Linked DNA regions of Oryzias latipes. The protein of the gene in region 1 interacts with the protein of each later gene in a biochemical or structural test. Links are inferred from orthologs where the notes say so. Each region holds a gene or a part of one and is shown in the gene's direction. Other genes may lie near its edges.

Region 1 (3,093 bases):
GCAGACACGGTGGATTCACGTTTATTACGTTTAGAAAATACTTATTTTTACGTTAAAGGACATTTACGAATTTTCCTACAGCATGGATGAATTACGCTGGCATGTGTTAAGAAACTCGGCACAGAAAATGTTCCTCTGTGTTACAAAAAAAACACGATCAATCAGGATTTATGTAGAAATGAAATATGAAAAATCTTTTGGTCCTGAAAGATGATCAGAGCCTGGGTTGAATTCTCTGTGTTAATGACGTTTTTATTCAATCATTCTACAAATCAGCAACTTGGTTTCATTGAACCGTCATCACCTGTAAAAGTAAAAACACAAATATTTTAGATTTAGATTCAGAAACCGGAAGCTTAAACATATGAAATGCAAACTTTGGCCCCCTTTGGACCGGTCCTTGAAAACATTGTTTGACATTGAACCGGTCCGCTACCTGAAAAAGGTTGGAGCCCCCTGATCTAGAGAACAGCAGCAGAGAGGAAGACGGAGGAGGGAGGGGCTTAGTGAGATGAAGATGGACGTTCTGTTTGACTTTGCTTTAATGGGAACATTGAATATGAACATTTCTAAAATGGAGATCTTTCTTCCTCCTCTGGTCTCAGCAGCATCCCACGTACGTACAAGCGCTCTTCGACTTCGACCCGCAGGAGGAAGGCGAGCTGGGCTTCAGGCGCGGCGACTTCATTCAAGTCCTGGACAACTCGGACCCCAACTGGTGGAAAGGAGGCTGCCACGGCCAGACGGGCATGTTCCCGCGCAACTACGTCACGCCTGTCAGCCGGAACATGTGAAGCAGCCAGCCGCGTTCAGCCGCAACCATTTCCGTCATCATTGTTTTTTGATCTCATCACCCCCGCCTCCAGCCCCGGTCCGGCCCCCACCCACCACCCACCCCCCGTCCCCACAGAAACAGCAAACAACTGAAAGAGAACACGAGCACTGCTGTAGTAGGCGTCACTTTGCGGGTGACAGCTGAGCAAAGTCGACTCTCATTGGTGCCGAGAATGTCCCCGCCCCCCGTGGAACGCCTGGGGGGGGCTGTGTTTGAGGGCAGTCTTAACGCAGAGAAGCCTAAAGCAGCGAGGAGAACGGAACATGTCTCCGCCTCCTAACATTCTGCCTTTCACTCCTTCTTCTTCCTTTGCAGCATGTTTTAATCACTTTAATGAATTCCCTTCAATAAATCCTCTCTTGTTTTAAAGGAGAAAAATATTGAAAAAAACGGAAAAAAAAGAAATTGTTTTAAAAATGTACAAAAAGAAAACTGATGTCAACAAAACAGTAGGTTTCCATGTTAAAGACCATTGGTATGTGAGCATTGTACTTCAGCCGTTGGCTGCATAAATGAATCAAGTATAGAGAGAATCCATTTTTTAAGAAAATATATTATATATTTGTATGTTTGTTTGTTTTACCTCTCATCACAAATTATTTTCCATTTGTAAATTATGTTCAATCTTCTGTTAGTCAGGGTTAAGACCTTGTAGCTCTAGAATGTGATGAGTTGTCTTTTTTTTTTTTTTGTCTGAATCTATCGGAGGTTTTTCCAGATCAAACCGCACGACATCCGAGGCGCCAAAAAGTTCCATTCGGACGAGGTTTCTCTGGTCTGTAACGCAACTACAGTCAGTTCTTTCAAGAATCTAATGTCGACCAGCAAGAGGACCGCTGCAGAATCAAACGGACCCTCTGAGGACCGCTTAGGTTTTGAAAGCCGATTTATTTATTGCAGCCGATCGACTCGGGCCGTGAATGTAGCTGACTGAATCTGTAGACGAACATGAGGGAAACGCAGTCAGAACCACACAACCACGCAAGGGATTTGAAGTCATGCTGAAATGTGGTCATTTGTAGTGAGCGCTGACAGAGGACTTGTACAGGTAGACTCCTTTTCAAACACATTCATTACTTGCATGCATCAGCAGACGCTCTCCACCTTGTACGCGCACCAAGCAAAGGGGTGGAGTTCGGCTAACCACGCTGACTAATCACCAGTGAAAACCTGCAGCTGGCACAGATTCAGAGTTTGGAGAACTGTGAGATTGTCTGTTTTCCTATTTTTTTTTGCTAACATTTGAAAGACGAGCTGAGATGATGTAAAGATGTTTTTTTGTTCCTAGTCTTTTTTTCTGTTTTTTTTTTCCATCGTGGTGTGTGGTCAAGCACTTTTTATTTTATTTTTTTGTTTTGTTTTTTTGTCAAGCCTAAGTTTTGTTCTGGTCCAAATGTGTGTTTGTTTACTGTGTTTGTGTTTCTTTTTCTCTCTGGATAGTGCCTTTCTCTCTGGTGTTTTAGTGTCTCTGACCTGCTACTTTGAGCCCCCCCTCCCAGCCCCCTGAAGCCCCTTTTTGGGGCCTGCCAGTCCTGCAGCCAGAAATGATGTAAATAATATAAAATAGAGAAAAGCGCCCCTCGGTGCCCCCCCTGCCCTGTTTTACTCCTCCTACATGGACCCGCTTCACCTTAGGTCTCACCAACATGGAACTCGCCTTGTCTTATCTAATGATAATGTTTTGTTTTTTATTTGCATTCTTGTTTTTTTTTTTCAATGAATTAAAAGCAATTATTAAACTTGTGCTGAGGTCTCCTGATTTTTTTTCTCCCACAGTCCAAAAACGGGCTTCACAGGTTCATTGATGACTGAATAGGTGTGCATGTGTGAGGGCGAAGGGGTGGGGGGCCAGCTGCCCTCCCAGCAAAAAGCCTTGCCCCCCAGGAGCAAAGACCTGTTTCCTTTCACTATGACATTTCCCTCTGCACAGGTAGCCAGTTTGCATGGGTTTTCTTAACCCGCGGGGTTGCCTCAGACCGTCCCGGCTCCTGTTGAGCGAAGGAGGGAAACACCTGGGACAGGTCGCCAGCCTGTCGCAGGGCAGGGCCCATGGGGCTCTAGACGAAATCTTGAGGCCCTCAAATGCTGTTTCCATGCTATGGCGAGAGGAAATTTAGATTTTAGGAACATTCAATGATAAAGCTAACTTTAAAATAGCTTAATAAAATCTGGGAGCTCCACCACTGCCCCATTGGGAGAATGTTTCTTTTCATTTAAAGAACTTTTATTTTGAGTATTTTTGACTTATTTGGGGGGGG
Region 2 (3,751 bases), on another chromosome or scaffold:
CGAAAATCCCGGTTTGATCATCCAGAGAAAGCATATTTGTGGACATTTATGTTCACACATACTGTATATTTGAGTTTACCTCTAATGTAAGTTCATTAGAGCAGCATTATAACCAAACAGTGAACTGTAAACCACTGAGGTCAAAGGAGCAGGAATGGAGAAGACCTTCCTGTTCAGGTGATGTGGTCCTGGGATGACTGCAAGATGGGACAAATTCATAGAGAATGGAAAAAAAGTCCGGAATGGAGTGGGGAGAAGTGAGGAGTCCAGCAGTTGACTGATGTTTCTGACATGCGTGCAGTGCGAAGACTGACCAGCAGAGGGCAGAAGAGCGCCGCTGTGACCCGAGTAGGATCTGCACAGGTGTCTGCAGCTCCGGATCCTGCAGCCGTTTGCCTCTCTAGTCTTCCTTCAGGAGGATGTTCTGAGGATGACCTGCTTCACAGAAGCTCCCACTTACAGCTGTGGGTGTCGCGAGGGTCCTCTGCTGCCACAGCCATCTCTCACACAGGTGTGTGCAGCTATGTGGGCGGGACTCTCAGCGCACCTGGATTTCATCTCCACTCACAGCCCTGTTGCGTTGTAAAGCCACGCGTAAAGTTTGGCACAGACTTCTTTTTCTCAGACGCTCTTTTAGATTTAATCCCAAGGTCCTGCATTTGAATTCTCCCCCCTGTCCAGACCCGAAAACTGCGCGTTTCGGGTGCCCCTCCCTGCCCGTGTCTCCCCACTGCAGTCTGAAAGCGGAGCTGACACAAAGGGCCCTTTCTCAGCCCCGCTGGGAGCGCGGCTCTTAAAGGGCCAGAAGAGCCGCAGCCTCAGCAGACAGACACGCAGATCAGTCACCTCCACGCAGACATCAAAGCGCGCAGCAGCGCGGCGCAGATGCGCATCTGCAGACGCTTTTATTTAGACTGCAGCTGATAAAAGTCCAGATTGTTTTGGCTGAAAACCCACAGCGCCAGCGGCGCGTAAATGTCATAAATGAGAGTCTGAAGGGAAAAGTTTGAGGAAGCAGCAGAACTTCAGTTCAGCAGCTGATCTGACAGTTTTTTGGTTGTTGATGAAATCACCAGAGTCCTGAAAGAAACGCGTCTTTGCGCGTCATGAATGCGCGAACGAGGGGCCGCGCACAGACAGCCGGGGGTTCACAAGCTCTCAGAGAGAAGGAGGGAGACTGAAGAGGAGGAGGAGGAGAAGTGAGAGGGGAGGAGGGAAAGACTGAGTTGAGGAATTTCAATCCTGTTAGAAGGGGGAGAGGGGGAAGAAGTCAGGGGAGTGGAGAGGAACTTTGAACAACAACTTCGTGGATGTTTGCTGCGCTTTTTCTCAGGATCATCCAACAGGATTTGCGGGCTTTTAATTTTTTTTTTAGGTTTCAAGGTTTTCTCGGACCGTGTCGGTTCCACGCAGGTTCGGTTCTTGGCGCTGCTGAGATGCGGTGATGGGGTGTTTTTGCGCCACAACCGCTGTCCCCGCGCGCCTCCTCTCAGGTGATCCGCTCCCAGGAGCCATGGCGCGCAGCCTGGCTCTCCTCAGCCTTCTCCTGGCGTCCTGGGCGCCGGCGGCCGCGGCGCAGCTGTCAGGTAAGCCGCTCCTCAGCGGACATCCGGCCCAGAGGGAGGTGATTGGGTTTCCATGCGCAGGTTTCCACCTCAGCTCGTCTCCTCTTTCATGCAGATGTTTCTGTGACTGTCAGCACACTCTGTCATGTTAATATGTTCCTGGAAAAAGTTTTTCTGGAAAAACGACCCCTCCCTCCCCACCCATGTTTCCAGTTCACACTACATTAAATCCATCCTAATTCAGATTCCTGGTGATTTAGAAACTTCTTCATGTGATGAGTTTGAAAAAAATCCAATCCAGGATGTGTTCAGAAAGGTTCCTCACCTGTCAGGACGGGGGGACTAGCAGTCGAGCAGGGCAGTGATGGATGACCTGACGGGTGGAGGAGGCTGGAAAGTCTGCAGAGATGAATCTGCAGAATGGAATGAAGAGGGGCAAAGGTGCAGGCGTGAGCGGAGGGGAGGAATCCTGCAGAGAGGCAGGAGGATTTGTTGCTCAGACCCTGAGAGGAGGTTCGGCTGTTTCCATGCCAGGCGGATCCATCTCTCCCGAAGGCTGTCATGGTTCCATGTGGGACAGGAAGGAGGGAAGCGGAGCTGCTTTTGTCAAGCGCGGCGGAGAAACAAACCGAGTCAGGGGTCCGGTCTGAAAGGGCTCAGCCAGCCTCACAAAGACGTGGAAGACAAAGAGGCGGCCGGGCCTTTCAGCCGCTGCTCGCTCCCACGTTTGTTTATGAGCTGCATCAATGTGATCTGAGGATCGGGAGGGAAACTCAGGGGACTCATGGCTGTTTCCACAGCGACTGGGTGGAGGTCAAAGGTCGGCTCGAACAGACTCAACGCCCCGCCTGACAAGCTTGAGAAAATCTTCCCGAGTTGCATCCGAAGCCAAGAAAGCTTGAAGCTATTTTTGGCCTGCAGTCAGAGAAAACAGTTTACTCCTCCTGGAGTCTCTGGGATCCAGCAGAAGGATCCAGCAGATTGATTCTGCAGAAGGATCCAGTAGGAGGATCCAGCAGGAGGATCCAGCAGGAGGATCTAGCAGAATGATTCTGCAGAAGGATCCAGCAAGAGGATCCAGCAGGAGGATCTAGCAGGAGGATTCTGCAGGATTGGATGTTCATCATCAGTTTGTGCCCCCCAGCTCCCTAACAAGAGGCCTTTGTGGCGGAGCAGCGCCGACCTTCCTGCTCAGCCTCGCTATCAGCGAGAGGAACAAGATAGGCCGACTCGTTTCAAAGTCATCCAGGGGGGAGATAAACTGTGTTTCACCTGCTCTTATCGCCGCAGGGCTGCTCAGTGCCAACAAACATGAAGCAGACGCACAAACGAAGCAGGCAGAGCTGTCCCATAACTCAGCATTCTGCATGTTTCACTGACAACATAAAGATCCTGACACTTTATTTACATCAGACTTTAAAAATCCCATTCATTCCTTGGATCCATATTCACATTGAAATAGCTGAATCAATCAATCAGACTTTCCTTTTCTTTTTAAGTAAATTTTTTTACATTCTTTAGCCAAAAAACTGCTTTTCTGTTAGTTTTTATTAAAATAGTTTCTAATTTCAGTAAAGAAATTTACTTATTCATTTATTTTATGACTTAATTATCTGTACTGGGCCTTTTCAAATCATCATTTTCTATCAGCTTTTGAATCTGTTGTGTTTTATGACTTTTATCATGTAGAGGACCTTGTGGGCCATGCAGGTTGATGAAGGTTGCTCCTCAAATAAAGTGATGGATTGATGAAGAAAAATTCCACTTCAGTTTAAAAACACAACAACAGTTATTTTATATTCAAAGAAAGTTGCTTTTCAATGAAAGTTGAACCCGTAGGTTATCATCTTAAAGGCATTCTTGAAGGTGTTTATATTTGAGAAGTGAAACGTCTCCCAGAAAAGACAGAAGTCCGGTTCCCTTAGAGCGGAAAACACGCCTCGGTTGGACGACTGAGATCCTCCACAAACATGCAGGTCGACTTGTTTGAATCTGAAATCCAAAAGAATTGTGGGTACCAACATTCAGCTCGGTTAAGGAATGATGACCAACCGTTACGTTGGCATGATTTATGGCAAATCCAGGCTTGTTTTTGACTGAGTCTGAACCACAAATGTATTTTTCCCATGATGTCTTAAGTTTGCACCTAAAGCTCTTTGCTCAATCAAACCTTAAAGACCCACTCC

What was found. The genes of interacting proteins can lie anywhere in the genome.
Region 2: the proteins of grb2 (region 1) and axl form a complex in vitro, tested with the Homo sapiens proteins (2 studies listed by BioGRID, with this or other methods). The link is inferred for Oryzias latipes from reciprocal best matches to the Homo sapiens genes GRB2 and AXL.

What each region holds. Positions count from the first base shown.
Region 1 is NC_019866.2:20,732,410-20,735,502, reverse strand, and holds the end of grb2 (growth factor receptor-bound protein 2), read left to right. Parts: intron 1-605; coding exon 606-794; 3' UTR 795-2,579; downstream 2,580-3,093. UniProt on the Homo sapiens protein: Non-enzymatic adapter protein that plays a pivotal role in precisely regulated signaling cascades from cell surface receptors to cellular responses, including signaling transduction and gene expression.
Region 2 is NC_019871.2:3,220,757-3,224,507, reverse strand, and holds the start of axl (tyrosine-protein kinase receptor UFO), read left to right. Parts: upstream 1-1,146; 5' UTR 1,147-1,444; coding exon 1,445-1,586; intron 1,587-3,751. UniProt on the Homo sapiens protein: Receptor tyrosine kinase that transduces signals from the extracellular matrix into the cytoplasm by binding growth factor GAS6 and which is thus regulating many physiological processes including cell survival, cell proliferation, migration and differentiation.